Rhinolophus ferrumequinum: one gene and its partner. The main gene of each other region encodes a partner of the protein of the gene in region 2 in a complex. Links are inferred from orthologs where the notes say so. Each region holds a gene or a part of one and is shown on either strand. Other genes may lie near its edges.

Region 1 (9,648 bases), on a different chromosome or scaffold from region 2:
CAGGGGCGTGGCATAAGAGTGTCTGCGAAGACCACATTCTGTCCATCCATCCGTCCATCTGTAGGCTTTGCTTCCCCAGTCTGGGGACATGTGGACTGCTCTGAGTGAAACACTAACGCTGTGCTGCCTTTCCTCCCGCGCCGCTCTCTGCAGGTAACTAGGATTTCTACCTCAACGGCGACACCTGTGCGAGGACAGGTGGGCCACGGGAACGGCGGCCGACCACCGGACAGCGGGACAGACCGAGGACGAGGCTGTGCCGTGAGTCCACGCTGCACAGATATGCAGGAGATGCTGGGCCTGGCTCCAGCGTGTACTGTTGATAGTTTTAGATAAAGTATTTATCGTTTTTTAAAAAGTATAAACAATTTTGACTTATTTTATTCCACCGAAGTCATAAAGGCAACCTATTGAGAAATGTAAATACTATATATGAGAGGATCTATATAAAGACCTGGACCCAACGGACTGGCCGCCCGCGGAGACCCCGACAGCCGGCCCGGTGCTATCTCACCGCCAGGCCTCGCCGCCTCCACGTTCTCTTGGTGCTGACTCGAGGTTGACCAACGCCAAAACCAGTGCTTGCTGCGCCCGCCCCGCCATCCTGCGCTCTCCCGTACCAAAGGCACGCCTGTCTTCAGGTCAAGGGTGGTTTGCTCGCTTTCTGACGTCCCTCAGAAAAGCCCCTCTCCCCCATCACTGTGAACACTCCCGGCCAGACTGTCAGCCCTGGATCCTGGGACGGCTCCTTTGGTGTGGGGACGCGGGCGGTCGGCGGGCTCCCTGATGCTACAGGAGGAGGCCGCTGTGAATGGTGCTTGGTGGGGGGGGGGGTCTGGTACCTGTCGTCGTCGCGTGTGTCACGGAGCTGCTGGGAAACAAGTGCTTTACTTTGTACGTGCTATCTTAGTCTTGGGCTCATGCAGCCCAGCAAGGTGTGTGGCCGCCGGCCGGGGCATGTGGCAGGTCAGCCGTGGGTGCCTGGTGTGTCTGTACAGAAGAGAGTCACGCTGACGAGTGACAGTATTTTATAGAGATGTGATGAAAATTTATAAATTTCATAGACTTGACTTTGTTTATTTTTAGATCGTATAATGCACAGTAAACTTAAAAGGGAGAAAGAAAAGTGAGGGGGGAAACCTTTTTATTTATTCAAGTGCACACAAGTGGCGTTGGCCCAGGGCCGAACACCCCTTGTCCCTCTTCTCAGCCTGTGCCACTGCTCCATGTCTCCACTGGCCCTCCAACCCCGCAGCTGGGGTGACACCTGCCCCCACTGGAGTAGCCTCCATGGTGCTTGGGAACCAGTTCCCCGGGGTGGGCTGGCAGGGCAGAGGCGGGCTTCGCAGGAAGGCAGGAGAGCTGTTGCCGATGCTTCCAGAGGCTGCCAGTAGGGTTCTCGGCTCCCTCCAGCGCAGCTGTCTGTGACTAGTTCTGGATCCTGTGTTGTCTGCAGAGTCCCTGAAAGGGCGAGTCCAGAAGCCCTCAGGACCCCATTGTGGGAGCTCCAGAAAGGGTTAGGAGCAGGTGCAGTCAGAGCTCTGGCCTCAGGTGCTTTACCCCAGGAGGTAGCACCCCCCCAAGGAACAAAGAAGTCCTTTTTCTAAAGGTGGGGCTGTGCAAAGGGATTTGACCTGTTCCTGGAGAAAAGGCCTGAGCCCCGCCTTCCCCAGCCTGGCCAGCAGGGCCTTCTGCCAGGTCCCTGCATCCTGATCCCTAGGGGCAAGACAGGCCTTGGCAGATGGGAGGAGGGGGTGGGGGGCTGGAGTGGGGGGGCCTGGGAGAGCCCTGCCTCCTGTGTGCCCTGGGGTGGTGCCTGGCCCAGAGCAAATCCAGGCTGAAGATGGTGCTCGGTCAGGTTCTTGGAACCGGCTGCCCTGTAACTGCTGCCCTGGCTCCCTTCCCTGCCGGTCAGTGCACGAAGGTGCTGTGCTCACCCCAAACCCCATGTCCCCCCCTCCCTTGTCAGGAGCACAGGGCCCCCTAAAAAGCTGCAAGGCTGACAGTAGCAAAGTCACAGCACGTGGCGAGTCCCTGGTCTGGAACTAAGCAACCGTTCTCAACAGTGCTTCTCTTCCGGACGACTGGGGTCCTTGTGTGGACTTCATACTGACATGCCATATCTGCCCCACAGCAGTTAGCACTGGGGGTCTCCGTCTGTGCCCGCCCTCAGCCCCTAGGCCCTCCTGACCAGGAGATCGATCGGCCACTATTGGCTGCCAGGGAGGGGAGGCCGCATGGCCCTATGGGGAGCGGGTTCTGGTCTCTGTGCAGAGACCCTGTGCTGCTGTGACTGTGGGCAACTTCAGGGAAGCCCAGGGCTGCGAGGGCGCTTTGCTCAGGAAACCTAAGTCGGACGACCCTCCCAGTCAGGAGGAGCCAGCCTTCCCTTCCAGCTATGACTCGTGACTTATTTAAGACCCACTCACCCCTTTATTTATCCGCGCCGTCTGCAGTAGGAGATTTGTTTTCTTGTCCTTTTACCACCACCCGCCACCCCCGCCATCATTCCCATTCAGTCTCAACCTTGACTATTAACTCAGATAGGGCCCTGCCTGCTTTGTGGTTCTGGTAGACTGTCTCAGTTGGGGCGCTGGCGTGGCCTTCTTTCCCTACGGGAATCCCACTGCACTCTGATTTCCATCTCTAGACTGTAATAAAAGACTTGTTTTCACTTGAACCTGGTCTGCTGGCATTTCTTCCTGGTTACCACAGTGAGACCTTAGCCTTGAGGGCCCAAGTGCAGAGGACGGTCACTCCCAACAGGCCCACAGTGCTCCTGAAAGCAGCCGCTGTGACTAGCAGACTGCAAGTGCCCACCTCAGGGAGGCCCAGCCCCTGCAGGGCTTATACCTGACGAGGTCCAGCACCCCAAGGACGGCCCTTTTGATGAACTAAAACCAACCAACTGCGACTCGGACGTGGGCAGAACCCTTTCTGAGGTCCCACGTGCACCCAAGGGAAAGCCCTGTGACGATGGGTGGGATCACGGGCCACCTGAGGATCCCATCACACCCCCGCCTCCATCCTACCTTAGGGCCTGTGAGCACCAGAGGCCCCAGGGGCCAGCCTCCCTGACTTGCCAGGCTCTGGGTTCTGGGTCTCCTCCCCTCTATTTGGGCAGCCCAGCCCCTTCTTCCCAGGCACTTAAACCTCAGGCCTGGAAAGGACCTGTCCCCCAGGAGCCTTACTTCCCTCAGGGGCCAGCTCCAACGGCCTGGGACCACCAGCCTGTGGAGGATCCATGTTCCTCTCTGCATTCACTGCACCACCAACCCATGTGGAAAAAAGAGGTACCTTTATTTGAACAGAATAGGCACACGGGCCCAAGGGCAAAAGCTCCCAGCTCTGCCCAGCGGCCTCCAGCCAGGGCCGGCCCTCGCCCTCAGCAGGACAGTTCACAGCCCCGTGCCCTTCACAGCATCGTCCAGCTTCATGCATTCAGCCTGCACAGAGCAGGAGCTTCGGGCCTCCCTCGCCAGGCCCTGGAGGGATGTGCCCGCGGGGCCAGACACAACACTCCCCGGCAGCAGCATGTGGCACCAAGAGGTGCCGGACCAGTCTGGTGGGTCCCAAGGCACAGCCCCTGCCCACTCTCAGCAGCCTGGGGCCTCTGGAGTCTTGAAGCCGAAACACCTCACTCCATAAATCCAGGTCCCTGGGAGGGGGGGGGGGGCTCCTCAAAACTGGTGAGTGTGAGGAGCCTGATCGTGGACTCATGCCTTCAAGCCACTCAGCTGGAACCGGGCCTCTTCCGATATGCCGAACTGCTCCAGGGGGTCCTGTGGGGTGGACAGCATAGCGTGAGCCCCAGGCCACGAGCCACCCCCGTCCCGAGCCGTGTGCCCCATGCCCACCTTGCCGGTCATCTTCTGGATCTCATTCCTATAGAAGATGAGGCTCCGGCGCATGAACTCGTAGCTGGAGAAGAAAGTGGCCTGTGTTCACAGGGCTGGCTCTACCTCCACCCCAGGCCCCCTGGGCCGCCCATGCCCCACCTGGCTCGACGAAGAGCCCCCATCCACTCCTGACACTGCTCCTCGCTACAGCACTCAAAGTGGTACTTCCTCTCCGGGTCCTCGATGAAGCCTGCAGAGGGAGGGGCCCCGTGTGTCCCTGCTCACTCCCACCCCCACCAACCACAGGCTTCAGCTGTCTGTTGCCACTGTCCACAACTGTCCCCTCCAGCCCAGGCTCCTCGCTTCCCACCGGCTGTGGGTTGACCTGTGTCCCCCAAAAGGGTAGGTTCAAGGCCTAGCTCCCAGAATCTGGGAACAGGGTCATTGCAGATTAATTAAGGTGAGGTCATGCTGGAGTGCGGTGGACTCCTAATCCAATAGGATTGGTGTCCTTACAAAAAGGGGGAATTGACAGACACACAGGGAAAAGGCCAAGAAGACGATGGACGCAGAGCGGGGTGATGCGTCTACAAGCCAAAGAATGCCAGAAGCTGCCAAGCCTCCAGAAACTGGGAGAGCCTGGGACAAATTATCCTCAGAATTAACCAGTCCTACCGACACCCCAACCTGAACTTCTGCCCTCAAGCAGTGAGAGAAGTAAGTTTCTGCTGTTGAAGCCCCCCCCCCCCCCCCGTCTGTGGCAGCCCCAGGACACTAGAAGTTCCGGCCTTCCCTGAAAACTCCATCCTCTCAAAGAGACCCAGAAGAATCCTCCGGGGTCCCATGCACAAAGCCCGGCACTGAAAATGGGTAAATACAGCAAGCATTGACCCGAGGGCTATGCTCCCCAAGAGAAGACAAAGCCCTTGTGGCCTTGCGGTGGCAGCTAGGGAGGGGCTGGGACGGATGCGCACAGCCTGCACCACAGGGAAGGAGCCCAGCCCTGAACTTTGTTCCTGGGAAGGGACGGGGCAGGGCGGAGTTGGGGGTCATGGCCGGCCTGGCCCCACCCCCCGCACTCACTGATGGAGAAGCCGCTGGGCTCTTCCTGGGTGATTCTGCAGTGCTCCAGCAGCAGGGCTCCAACGGGCTGGGGGCAGACGGGGCGAATGGGCGGGCCACCCTAGGACCCCAGCCCCCAGCCCGGGACCCGCCTCCCCGCCGCCCTACCTCTGCCTCATCCGTCCGGAAGTAGAAGAGGAAATTAACCACCAGCTTCACCAGTCGTCGCTTCACCACTGCGGACACAGGGCGGGCTCGCGAGGGCTGGCGGCCGCCCAACCCGCCGCTGCCCGCCCGCCCCGACCCTCGGCCCTGGCCTGCTCACCGCTGCCCTTCTTGGGACCCCGCATGCCCAGCTCGGCCGCCAGCTCGGCCGGCTGCCTGGACAGCGCCTGCAGCTCCTTCTCGTTGTAGCGCATGGCGCCCCGAGGCCCAGAACGTAGAGTACCGGCCGCGCCCTACCGGCCGTTGTCCCCGCTCACGCCAAAAATGTCCCAGGGCACGTCCCGGAAGTTCTCCCAGAGCTACTGCGCCGGCGCGCCCCAGGGCTGCCCATCCTGTCAATCACCGGCGAAGGGCGCTGGCGTCCCGGGGGCAGCAGAGATCGAGTGGAGCCCTCGTGGGGCCCACGGGAAAGTCAAAGACAGACTGTTATATGTATCATGCAGTGTTAGGCCCAGGATAGAAAAAATAAAACACCCCTACGACCCGTGGCACCCAAATGGGCAAGAATAGGCGGAAGGTCTGGGTACAAGTCGCTGCCCTCCTTCCCGCGAGAACTGGGTCCTGCGAGTAAAACCGACCGAGAGGTCATTGAGAGCCTGTTGGGCATGCGCACTTCAGCTTCCAGCCTGCACGGAGTCCCGCTCCCTTTCCTGGCACCTACAGAGCTGCTCATTCGCGCTATCGGCTGGGCCGGACATGCGCACATGGGAGGCCCGCCCCGTTTGCCCCGGAAGTGCATTCTTAGCCCGCGGGGCGCGTTCGCGGGACGAAGTCGTGGCGGCAGTGGAGACTGAAAAGGCAACGGGATCGCTGCATCCGGTGCAGGTGTAAAGCGGAGCGAGAGCGGCGGCCCCGGAGCCCGGAGTTCCCTAGGAGATAGCAGACGTGAGCGAGGGGCGCCTGCGACGGGGGCGCAGGCTGAGGGCGGGCCGCCGCGTCGCCTCCTCCCCGGGGAATGACGGGCCTCTGGGTCCCCGGAGCCCTCCGCTCGCTTGGGATTCTCCAAAGACCCATTGGGATTGGGTCGGGGTAGCAGCTCGCATGGCGCCTTCCGTGTAACCGAGGACCCCTCCGAGCATTAATTTGCATCCGTTAGTTGACAGACTCTGTGGTACGGGAGTCACTCGGTTCCTCTTCGCCTCAGTTTCTGTAACTGGAATGGGGGTAACAGCGATCGCCAGTTCCAGGGCAACTAAATAATACATAAGGTCCTGGAGTAGAGTGCCCAGCGCCGTGCCGAAGGCCACCAGAGCCAGTTAGCTGGCTGCATTTCGCCAGCGAAGCCCCGAGGTTAAATGACTTTCCACCACTCATACTGCTATGCGCGGTCGGCTTCTTTCTTCTACCCATTGGCCTTGCAGAACGTGCGAGAGGAGCTCCCGATAATAAACTGTCTGCCAGGTTTAAGGAGATAATAGTATGTTCATCAAAAGCTGGCATTCATCCCTGCTCGGTCCTCTGCCCCGGAGGCCGCCTCTGCTCAATTTTTAAAGCCGTCTTTATCTCCGTAAACATTCTTTCTGGATGTGCTGGTGTCAGACGCGACCTGCTGATTTCTTACGTGATTGATGAGGTCGTATTTCTGCCTCCCACCCACTCCCACTTCACCCTCCTACCCTGGATGCGTTTATATATCGCAAGCTTTAGTCAAATTATTAGTTCTGTTTTCTGAGACTGAAAGTATCCTTCGTGGCTAAGGCAAGTAACAAGTTCATCTGTGCGGCTTTTCCTGTACTGTTCTCCCCCAACCACTACCCCGAAGCTAATGAATGTTTTCATTTTTCCTGTTACCCTGATTTTCTTTTCCTCCTGTTAATTTTTCCTCAAAGTTCCATCACCTCAAACGGTGATAGACTGTATTTTTCCACAGGTTTAGAGGACTTGGTCCTTTTTTTAAAAAAAAATTCCGCCATAGAAATGTCTCTCCCAAATGCTGACATACTCCTGCTTCACTTTGTTCTGGTTGCTCACCTTACAGAGAAGCAGTTGTCCTAGAACGTTCTGTCAGTGCTCTCGGGTTGGCTTGTTTCCAGTCTGACTATCTCCTCTTCCTCCTATCGGCCCATCAATCGCAGGGTAGCTTTTGAAGAAATTGATTGATGGACTGATTGATTGATTTTGAGCCCTTTGAGTCCTGAAAATGGCTTTATTTACTTACACTCACAGTTCGGATATAAAATGAAAACTCGGGGTTAAAAATCTACGTTGAGAACTGTGGGAGTATTGCTTCTCTTACATGCTCAGTTCTGAGAGCTCTGGCCCCATTCTGCTTTCTAACCTTTCGCTTCTGATCTTCTGTTTGTGCAAATGGAAGATTTTCCTCATTGGTGTGCAGTTTCATGATCCATTTATTGAGAGTCTTTTTGTTTCTATTGCAAGGAATAGGTCCTTTCAGCCCTGGGGCATTTTCTTTCAGTGTTTTGATAATGCTTTTGTGTTAGCTCTCTGATAATATTTATTTCTTTGATAAGACTCTCTGTGTTTCTGTCTGTTTTCACTCTGGAATTTCATCAAGGTTCTTGCACTGCCTCATATGTTTTCCTTTTTCTCTTGTTTTCCTTATGAGATATGTCTTTGACTCTTACCTCCGAGCCCTCATATTCAATTTTTTGTTTGGATCACCCTGTCTTCTTTCCCAGGGTTCGTTGCGGTTTTAATTCACTGTGCTAACCCTTGGCAAGGTGTTGGCACCGTCTATTGAGGTTTCCATCAGGTTTATTTTTTTCTCAGCTGTATAGAGATTCTTTTTGTCTGTTACGTGAAGTTGCCACCTCTGTGTGTGAGAGCTGTCTGTGCTTCTCATCTGATGGGTCTCACTGCTCAGTTGGCCTGGCAGGGAGCTGGTATTTTATTTGGGGCACGAGGGACCCCTACTGTCAGTGTCTGAGAATACTTTCCCTGGCGCTCCTTCCCCAGAAAAGTCTCCTGAAGTCCTCCCTAAGCTGGGGGCCTCTGACCGGGGCCACCTGCCTTTGGACATGGTGCAGGGAAGGGCAGACTGCCTGCTGGTCAGTGGGCAGCTTTTGATGAAATCCCCTCTTCAACCTGGCCCTCACCCACAGCCTCTCTGTGCCTGGCTCCCAGGCCAGAGGCCCCTCATTCCAGTTCTTAGAATCAAACTGATCTGCCCAGGAGCCCAGATACCTGTGGAAAGACCTTCATCCCAGGCTGTGAGCTCTCAGTTCATTTGGGGTGGGGGTGCTGCTAGGGGAGGAGGGACAACACGGGAGCAATGGGCTTTGAGTAACCAGCAGTTTTGGTTTCCAGTGGTTACTGGTTTTGCCCTGATTGGTGAGCGGTTGAGTATTTATGTGGGCTTAGATTTCCCTAAGTCAATCATATTGTCTGGACAGGGGCTTTTCCCAACCCCGGCCAGCCACTGGCAACATAGGAGCTTATTCTGGCCATTTAGGATGGAGGGATGACGGGATGGGGGGGGGGTGGCAGGAGTGCGGGGTGAGAGACAAACATTGGGGGGCATGGTCTCCTTGCCTGCCCGTCCACCAATCCCGGGGAGGCCCCAGTGACAGCCACCAGGTTCTCACTGCCTCTCCCCTTTGCTCTCCAGGTTTCTCCCCAGTCCAATAAAACCCCAAGGCCCTCACCATGGACTTCCAGCATCGCCCCGGGGGCAAGACCGGGAGTGGAGGGGTGGCCTCCTCCTCGGAGAGCAACCGGGACCGCAGGGAGCGTCTCCGGCAGCTGGCTCTGGAGACCATTGACATAAACAAGGTGAGGTAGGGCTGGAGGGGGCTCCCCACAGCCTCCTTTCTTCCCGGGGACCCGTGGTCCCGACATCACACCGCTACCCTTGAGCAACCACCCAGCTCTCTGGGCCTCGGCTTCCTCACCTGTAAACGGGGGACTTGGGCCGGAGCAGCAGGTCCCCCCTGCCCGCCCAGGGCCGCCTGCTATCAGTGACCCCATGTGTTTACGGGTTTTCTCTGTGTAAGGGGTTTGGTTTTGTTTAATTACCCAGCGGCGTAGAGAAGCAGTGGTGAGGGCCATGATGGCGTCATATAGATTGGTACCATTCCAGCCACAGGCAGCGAAGGGCAGCATGTTCGTTCCGCTGCACAGAGCCGTTGGTAGACCAGGTCTCCCCCTGGCACTGCTGAGGGCCGTCCTGGGCACTGTGGGTGCTGAGCAGCATCCCTGCCCCCACCCACTCGATGCCAGGAGCACCCCCAGTGTGACCACCACAGATGTTCTGAGTGGCCCAGGTGAGAGCCCAGCGGTCAGTATATGGCTCCCTTAGACTTTGAAACCCTCTGAGGTGTGTGGGGCCTGTGCCTGTGAGGTCGGTTCTATTACTGTCCCCATTTTGCAGGTGAGGAAACAGTCGTGCGGAGGGAGGGGTCAGCATTGCCCAAGATGACACAGCCGCTGGCCAGTGGAGTTAGGGTTTGAACCCTGCCAGTCTGCACCACGCCTGCCCCCACTGCCTTGGTTTATGGCCAGTCAGCTGTCCAGCGCACAGCACTTGCAGAGACATGGGTCTCCGTGGTCTTTCCCTTAACGC
Region 2 (9,664 bases):
TTTATGGGCCACGTAGTTTGTGCCGCAACCACTCAACTCTGTTGTTGAAACACATACACAGCCACAGACAAATGCAAAATTGAATGAATGCAGCTGTGTTCTAAAAAAGCTTTACAAAGACAGGCAGGGGGCTTGAGTTTGCCTATCTCTGGTCTAATTCATTCCAAGGGCAAATAAAATGTTACTGGCTTTCTTTTCTTTGTGGATTTTTGAAATGTGTCCTGAATTGGTTACATGCCTACACTCTGAAAGAGATCTTTGCAGTGAGAACTCTTTTAAGACAAAAGAAGCACTCTGATCATATAACTTATATAATATTTTGATCTGATACTGTATTTTCTTAGACAAACAAGTGAATAACCTTACCAGTGTGACACACACAGGCACAGTATGAAATTTCAGTTTCCTTCTCGCCCTGTTTTGAATAGTTCTGTCTTAGTTATCATCTATACAAAATTATAGCCCTGGTTTCTGAGTTAGAAATGGAGATAAGAGAAACTCATCTGACAACATAACTAACCTTCAAATAACAGCAAAGCCCATCTCCTTTAAGATTTCCTTGATTATCTTTGTAAAGCTTGACCTTAAATTCTTCTGTATGAGGATCTCTCATAATAATGCCAAACTTGGACATGAGCTGTATAAATTCATCCACTGTAATGTCTGGAGGCAAACCTGTAACATTAGGAAAAATAAATATGAAAACTTATAAAAGCATCTAAATAAAGGTGAGGGTTACTTAGCATTCTACCAATTAGAAAGCTACAACTTCGATGAGCAGTTTTGATTTTCTAAATGTATGTAAAAATCTCACATCTGTAGAATTGAGGAAATTTCGTGTTTTAATGTATTCAAACATACATTTAAAATTCTTTGCCTAGGACTTGTATCAATGAATCTGAGGGATAAATTACCACAAGTTACCTAAAGCAGACAAAAAGGATGGCGTGCAAAGTTACATACACTTAATTTTTCTTAGTTTTGCAATAAACAACACATTCCTCCCTGATGTGAACAGTTGAACAAAGAATGACACAATAAAAAACAGACTTTAGAGAAACTGAAAACTAAAAATTACTTTATGAAAAATATCAAAATCAAATATTTTCTACTCTAAATTTGTATTAAAAAGGTATACATACCAGACACATATACATTTGTATTTCTGTCTTCTTCAACATGAAACCATCCTAAAAATCAAAATGAATAAATAAATAAAACACATGCAAGAAAAGGTAAAAGTCACATCATGAAATCTTGACAATGTGGCAGTTTCTCCAAACTTTCAGGAACTTTTTCTTACCCTTAGAACAAGACAGACTAACTCAAACCACTGTGCAGCTTTCAAAGTATTTGGATCTTTTAACAGATAATTAGCTTCAGAGCCCTTTCTGAAAAAAGAGGGTTTATCTTGGTTATGATTCCGATCCTACCTTAAAAAAACTCCTCCTTGCACTGAATTTAGGCCTTGGCATTTAACTGCTTCCAACTCCAATCTACTGTGTTAGACAGGGCCAAGCTGAAGCAAAACTGATATGAGTTCAATTTAATTAAACTCAAAAAGTACAAGAAAATAACCTTACAAACAGAACTTTTGACAATACCCCAACAATAGCTCTATTTTGCAAAGGAAGCAACTGAGGCATAAAACTGAAACAGCCAACGCAATGCCCACAATAAGTTAGTGTGAAAGCCAACATATGAACCCAAGTAATAATTTAAAACACTCATCTCTATGATTCCTTCAAAGCCATTATAATTCTCCAAAAAGTAACTGTACACACACACACACACTCACATTTAAAAAATTTTTACACTCATGTTTTGCAAGCTAAATCCACTTACCTGAGTCAGCCTTTCTCTTTTCTCCCCTCTTTTTGGACTCAGTGGGTTCAGGGGTGTTTCTTTGTGGCGGTTCCTCTGCAGGCCTAGCACTGACATCCTGCACATTTGCAGTAGAACTAGACGCACCATCATTAGAAAAGCCATAATTGGCCTGATATGTAGCAATGAAGTCTTCAGTTATCTGAACAAGAAATTCAACACACATAAATTCAAAAATGATTTCCTCCTGCAAAAAGTTTACACTGTGTTAAATTACTGCATATGCAGTTATACAACTTAATACAGAAGTGGGTAATAGTTGTAGTAATAAAGTGTAAATGGAAGAATAGTCACCTTATATACAAAAGTGTGCATACAATGATTCAAAAAATAAGACAGACACGGGTACTTGGATTATCAACACAAAAGTCTGAGCTACTATCAAGGCATTTTAAATGATACTGGCATATTTTCTAGTTGTTTCATTTATAAATTACTACCTCTCCGCAGTCTACTTGATGAAGGCTACAAGTACATATAACAAAGGAAGTACCAGATAACAAAACAGAACAAAAACTATAGTCAACTAGTAATCTAACAACAGAATCATTTTTTTCTTTAACGATATAGATGCACAAAGTGTATGTACATTAAATATTTAAATATCTGCATGCAAAGAGCACACAGAATGGAACTTTGATTTGGTGTATAAAGAATGAGGCCAACAATAGTTAAACAAAATGCTTGTTTTAACTTTATCGTGAATTAAATCACATTCTCATTTAGTGTCATAACAAATTAAGAACAAATCCAACTCACATCTATCCTCCTGGCTTTTGGAGAAAAAAGCACGATTGCACAATGAAAGAAATGTAGTTATATCTTCATACCAATCAATGTTAGACACACACAGGAATGGGAAAAATTTAAACTCAAAGTTTGAAGAGGTCTGAGCCTCCATGACACTAAAAGGTAAGTCACAAATGAACCTATTATCAGACTATTGTTAAAGTACTCAGAAGGCTGAAGAAACCAAATCTGCACCCTAGCTGGCACTACCAGTACAGAAGTGAAATACAGCTGACCCCTGAACAACACAGGGGTTACGGATGCCAAACCCCTCACTCCGACGAAAATCTGTGTATAACTTTTGACTCCCCAAAACTTTACTAATAGCCTACTGTTGACCAGAAGCCTTACTGATAACATTGTCAATTAACACATAGTTTGTGTATGTATTATATACTGTATCCTAACAATAAAGTACCTAGAGGATAAAAAATGTTATTAAGAAAATCGTAAGACAAAATACAGTCACAGTACTGTACTATATTTATCGATACCATAAGTTTATGTTATCTGCATACAAGATGAAAAAAATCTGTGTATAAGTGGACCCACGCAGTTCAAACCCATGTTGTTAAAGGGTCAACTGTGGCAAATGTAAAAATTTGGAAGGAATGCAACACACACACACACACACAATAGGAAAGAAAGAAGTTGAAATAAATAATTTTTAAAGTAACAAATTACACAATGGAGACAGGGTTTGTTATTACAGGCTTGAAAGTCAATTAGTGTGCTATTGGTATCCTTTTTTTCCACCCATATGAGATTTTGATTAACAGGGTACTTTTACGGAAAAGTTTACAGAACCAGGTTTAACACCAGTTATTTTACTTCCAAGCTGAAATAAAATACTTAACGATTTCTCCAAGTACTCTAAATAAATATTCACAGATCTTCTCCAACCATATATTCTGTGCATCTCTAGTCCTATTCCTCAGCCTCCCTAACATAAAAAGGTAAGTCGCAAATGAATCTATTATCAGACTATTGTTAAAAGTACTCAGAAGGCTGAAGAAACCAAATCTGCACCCTAGCTGGCACTACCACTACAGAAGTGAAATACGGTTGACCCTTGAACAACACAGGGGTTAGGGACGCTGATCCCCCTCGCAGTGGAACACCTGTGTATAACTTTTGACTCAAGCAGTGAGTGTGTCTAGGGACAAAATTTAATAGAAAGTAGAGGTGCAAACAAAGTTCAATCAGTAAAGATATACAAATGGCTAGGTGTTTTTTTTTTAATCAAGAAGCTGCATTTGTACGTAGTATACAAGCTAAACACCTGAATTTCTAGGATAAGTGACGTTGGCTCCCTGAGAGTAACAGCGACTAAGTTTGCTCTTGGTGTTTTTCCTTTTTGCAATAAAAAGCAGTCACCAGTGTAATAACCAATTGTGACCTTCACAGATAAAATTAATAAGGCATAGAAAAAAAATTAAGAATTAAATTACATTTAAGACATCTCCCTAAAGATATATGTTCCTTTACACACTGGTTCTGCAACAGACCCAACAACAACAAAAGCGTCACTATCCGTAGGGGCTCCAACTCAGGACCTCGCAAAGAAAACGTACAAGGAGCGCCCCGCAAGGCGGGCCCGCTCTGCAGTGGCACCGGTGGTAACACACTCCTACCTTGGGGAACCAAGCCTTCTTGTCCAGGTCCCACTCGTAGGGGGTGTCACTTGGCTGCTGCACGATAGAATTGGTTTCTCCGCCGAGATCTTTCAGGGTGTCTCCGTCCTTGGTGTCTCCGTACAATTCTTGCATTCTCAATTGCTCATCAAAGTCGTCCTTCCCATCCAAGTTGTTGCTGCTCATGTTGCTGACTTAGCTCAGGGGCAGGGTCCGGGCGAGCGAAGAGGCAAAGATAAGGCTGGAGGAGAACAGAGAAAATGAGGTCTGCAGCTCTCGGCCCGCGCCCTGCCGCCCCCCGGCGCGCCTCCCCGTGGCGCCCCAGCAGCCCCCGGGAGGTCGGGCCACACAGCGGCCGCACCGCCCCCCGATCCGCCCGCCCGCTCGCCGCGAGCGCGCGCGCACGCGCGCGGACCGAAGCTGCCTGTTCTGCTGCGCCGCCGCCCACCTGGCTCGCCCCGCCAGGCCTCGGCGCCGCCGCTCGATCCAGGGCGCGGCGGGAGCGCGCACGCGCGCCGCCACCGCCGCCGCCACCGGGTCGAGGCGACTGCAGGTCCGGCGGCAACGACTTGAGAACGGAGGCCCGCTCAGACTGACGCAGTCGCCATTGATGGCGCGACGAGACGTCGCGGGTCGCGCCGACACGCCCATAATGGCGTCAACAAGCGCCGACGCGGACCTGCGGCGCGAGGCCCAGGGGCGGGGCACTAGGGGGCGCGCGGCTACCACGCACCGGTTTCCGTGCCGGTCGCCTCGGGGCGGTGAGAGCCGCGGAGTGCAGGAGCCGCGGCGGGCAGGGCTGGTGCGGAGCGGCAGCCCTAAGGCGTGTGAATATTCGCACCTGGCAGGCGGGAGTCGGGGCGCCGCCATCTTGGGGTGCATGGGGCAGGCGGAACAGGTTTGTCTTGCGGAGAAAAGGCCACACCTCCTTTGCACAAAGGCTCCTCCTCCTCGTGGGAAATGTGTCTTTACTTCTTTTTCTCTGATTGCTTAGGGTAGGCGCCGAATCTGTTTCATCTTGGTGGCGTAAGCTCCTAGCTTGGGGTCTGATGTGAATGAGTGAATGAGTGAGTGAACGAAGGAGCAAGAGTGGAAGGACTAACCTTTTCCAAACCTCAGCCCCCTCCTTTATCTCTGTGGTACCTTCTTCAGGCTGCAGATGGACTCTGGAAAGGGAGAGAGGGCAGCAGTTAGTTGCCTGCCTCTTGGACTTCATGATTCAGAGGTGCTCAAGCTCGAAACCTGAAACATAAACATCCAAGTGTAAACACCAGCTTTATTGGCCGACTTTTTTTGTTGTTTTTTATTTCTTTTAGAAAGACACAATGTTTTTCCTCTAAACAACTTTTTAAGAAATTGCACATCACTGAAAATGGAGAAGTCTGTAATTTTTAATTGGACGGACATTTATTGAGCTCTTGCTAAGTGCCGGGCACTATACTGGGTAAGCTCTGGCTACACAGCAGTCGACAAGACAGGCACAGCTCAAGGGCGACACACTTACTTGGGAAATGATAGGATTGAAATACTGGATGCAGCAGTTATCAAACTTTCTGGTCTCAAGACCCCTTTGCACTCAAAAGTTACTGAAGACCTCAAAGAGCTTTTGTTTATATAGATTATACTTATCAGTATTTGTCACAAAACAATCATTTAAAAGTATTTATTCCTTTAAAATAATAAACCCATTATATGTAAACATAAAGTTCATAACCCAGACTTGAGGGTGGGGGAAAGAGTCCCAGAAGAAATTATTTCTACTATTTCCTTTGCTTCTAAACATAGCAGTTGAGTAAGGTTCTAGAAAATTCTCACTCCCCAAACACCAGCTTTGTGAACATGGTTTCCACCATAACAATGATTTTTAAATAGTATCTTGGGTTTTTTTTCAATTACATTTCTTTTTATGAAGTTCTTGTTGTGTTGGGAACTAGTGGAGAACTGAACTTGCATGCAGTTTATAATATAGATAACATGAGTTTTATTAGGCTCATTTAAGCATTGCTAAATATTTCTTCCTGGATCCAAAAATAGTATACAGCTGTTTTCAGCAATGTGTTATTGGGTTCCCATTTAATTCCTGAGTGAATTCACAGCATAAGTGATAATATGATACACAGCCCTACTGCATATGACACTCTGAGTGCCTGCTGTATCCGCAGGCCCCTTTTAGTAAGTAGTCAAAAAGGTTTCTTATGCCTGCATCCCATGTGACCCAGCCAACCGGGCCCAAAGGCTTTCCAGAAGCCTGCCTTCTAGACTGAATTTGATGAACTGAGCCAATAAGAGCCTCTCCCAGTGAGGAATGAGTATGGAACAAACAGGGACATAGAGGAGCACAAAAGCAGGGAGGCCCACGTAGGAAAGGTGACTAGCAGAACAGAGGTCTGCTGTGAAGTTCCCCAGAGGTGAGAGGAGAACCTGACATGGACAGAGGGTCACTGAGTCACCATAACAGTGGAGTTGGGAGCTAAGCACACTTGTAGCTACAATAGCATTCTATTTTACCATGAGACCTGACAATTGTTTTTTTAAACAATGCTATTGTCTCTATGAGGCCTGGTTCTTGTTTGTTCTTATTTCCCTGTGTATTCATAGAATTAACTCCCTAGTAATCCCGAGGTAATCTGTAAACGTCTCTGTCTTTGTAACCTGTCTTTTTCAAGATTCTTTTGTAAGTCAGAGAAACACTTAAGGTAACAAGCAAACAGAGGGGACCTTTATTATTATAAAGATAGGGGGTAGCTCCTGAAATTCCAGGACCAGAATGTAGATGGGCCACATCAGGAGCAGCTGGACCCAGTAAGCTGAACCAGTCTTGGAACCCAGACAGCCAGCTTCTTTTTGAATATCTTCTTCATTCTTCTCTCTCTGAACTTTGTAAGCGGTGATCTGTATTGTACTCCTGGCTTGATAGGCCGTGACCTTCCTGGTAAATAAAAATACATTAACTTACAAAAGCAAAGACTTCTTGGCCAGAGAAGTCACCTACCTGGTCTAGGAACTCTTTCTGGAAAATTACTGAGCTATACCAAATGACATTTTTTTTAATGGCCTATTCAAGCTAACTCTATTTGGGAATTTTCCTGTTCCCACTTCCTTCAATGTCAAGACTGAGTGGAAAGAAAAGTAACTCCTTTTGACAAAAAGATTGATGGATCCCTGACCTCAAGTCGTAACTGCAGAAATTCTTAAACCCAAATTTGCTATTTTCAGTAGCTATGCCAGTTAAATATTTTGTGGCACTTTCAACTTCAATGACAAACACTTCCCCATTGGACGTTTTGGTTGTATCTAAGTTTGTGACTTTGTTTTCCTGCTTTATAGCATATTATTATGGTCCATTATTCCCAGTCTTATGAGGTCTGACAATTAAGTTTGCGAACTTGTTGCAAAATGTTGCTAACCTTTTTTAGATATTAGAGGGATTATTCATTATGAATTTGTACCAACTGGACAAACAGTTAACCAATTGTACTATTTGGAAGTGCCGAAAAGGCTGCACGCGCGAAAAAGTTCCTTTTCGCCAATAATTCATGGCTCTTGCATCATGACAATGCACCAGCTCACACAGCACTGTCTGTGAGGGAGTTTTTAGCCAGGAAATAAATAACTGTATTGGAACACCCTCCCTACTCACCTGATCTGGCCCCCGGTGACTTCTTTACCCGAAGATAAAGGAAATATTGAAAGGAAGACACGTTGATGACATTCAGGACATCAAGGGTAATACAACGACAGCTCTGATGTCCATTCCAGAAAGACAGCTCCAAAATTACTTTGAAGAGTGGACTAGGCGCTGGTGTCGGTGCATAGCTTCCCAGGGGGAGTACTTTGAAGGTGACTATCATGCAGGGTCTCAGCTCTCACTCCGCGCACAAGAACGCAGGATATGGTGAGGCCAAAAAGGAACACCCACGGAGCCATAGATAGGGGAGTCTTACCACTACAGTCTCACTGGAGGCTGGGTTGGAGACACAGGAAGCAGGAGACACATGATCCACAGCCTGCCGTCCACTTCTCTCTGCCAACCCACCCCACTTGCTAACTGCAATCCTCCGTGCTAACTGCAATCCGCGCTTGCTAACTCAGCCACCATCTTCTTGCTAGCCCCCATTTTCTGCTAGCGTAGCCACGGCAGTTATATTAGTGGCCAGTGGCTCACTGGTTACAGCTGACGGCCAACTAGCCACAGCTGATGGCCATCCAATCAGAGTTGATGGCCATTTACTACCTGAGCCAGCACCTTTCCACGTGAGGCCGAGAGCCTGGAAACTGCACTCCTGGCTCTGTCCCCACAGTGACTGTAGTGATATTAGCAATGAGGTATGTAGCACTTTTTCTAGGATGAGTTCATGAACTTAATTGTCTGACCTTGTAGATCAGGACAAACCCAGAGCAAAATTGAGAAGTATACAAGATTTGTTCTTCATGTGTCCCAACTCTCTTCATATTGAGGACCCTCTCCAAAGAAATGCAAACTTCTGTAGTAACATTTCTGGTACAACAATAGGCAGTGTGAAAGAAATTGTGGATATTGGGGCCTATTTGTAAGGTTAGTCCTGACAAGGAAAATCTGTTTAAAAAAAAGACCACTCCCTCTAAAAAAATCAAAACAATTCTATGAATTTTAATCCCAATTCTTTAATTCTGGATGGGAGGCTGATGCCCTATAAAACTAATTAGGGTATTAGTTTATATCGGATCCATAAGTCACTTCAGGATTACTTAGAATGTAGAAAATGAAAGTTCTTTGAGCTCTAGTTTAATCAACTGCTAAAAGGCTGTCTTGTAATCTGGTACTTTTACCAAGTTATCTCTAAAATGTTATATCCTTAGGAGAGAAAAGATGTAATTTTTACCCAGAGTAAGGAAAATAATAAAATATTTGGGAGCTTTGTGACTTGAAAATAACTTAAATTTTGGGATTAAAATGGGTTCTCAGTTACATGCTGTCAGAAGTATTGTTTTTAGAATACAAAGTTACGCAGTCATTTGAAACTTTATTTAATATTTATTTGTTTTGCCCTGCTTATTACAATGCCCGACTTAAAACAGTATTAATATAATATTGGCACTCCCCACTTAAGTGAACCAATTTTACAGAAATGTAGTCTAGTGTGACTATATATCCCCTTTTTGAGCCACATCATTAGCAAAGTTCACAACTACACAAGCCATTTAAAGAAAGCTCAATCAAAACTACCAAAGCACACCCCAAAATCAAGTTTTTGAAAATACAAATTTAGCTATCTCTAGTGCCAAACAAATGCATTAAATTGCCCCCAAGAAAACATCTTCTGAAACCACAAATCTCAATCTGACAACTACTGACAACAGTTGTTTGAAATAACAAT

Evidence for each region. Proteins that work in one complex are often made in the same cells at the same time.
Region 1: HTATSF1 (region 2) and SF3A2 share a complex: the UniProt entries of both Homo sapiens proteins name them as parts of the 17S U2 SnRNP complex. The link is inferred for Rhinolophus ferrumequinum from reciprocal best matches to the Homo sapiens genes HTATSF1 and SF3A2.

What each region holds. Positions count from the first base shown.
Region 1 is NC_046301.1:61,018,109-61,027,756, reverse strand, and holds the start of SF3A2 (splicing factor 3A subunit 2), read left to right. Parts: upstream 1-5,857; 5' UTR 5,858-6,011; intron 6,012-8,694; 5' UTR 8,695-8,732; coding exon 8,733-8,858; intron 8,859-9,648. Other genes in the region: PLEKHJ1 (pleckstrin homology domain-containing family J member 1), read right to left, coding at 3,717-3,782, 3,858-3,921, 3,999-4,089, 4,923-4,989, 5,070-5,137, 5,227-5,320. UniProt on the Homo sapiens protein: Component of the 17S U2 SnRNP complex of the spliceosome, a large ribonucleoprotein complex that removes introns from transcribed pre-mRNAs.
Region 2 is NC_046284.1:19,783,644-19,793,307, forward strand, and holds the start of HTATSF1 (HIV Tat-specific factor 1), read right to left. Parts: upstream 4,494-9,664; coding exon 4,308-4,493; intron 2,027-4,307; coding exon 1,846-2,026; intron 1,191-1,845; coding exon 1,143-1,190; intron 676-1,142; coding exon 521-675; intron 1-520. UniProt on the Homo sapiens protein: Component of the 17S U2 SnRNP complex of the spliceosome, a large ribonucleoprotein complex that removes introns from transcribed pre-mRNAs.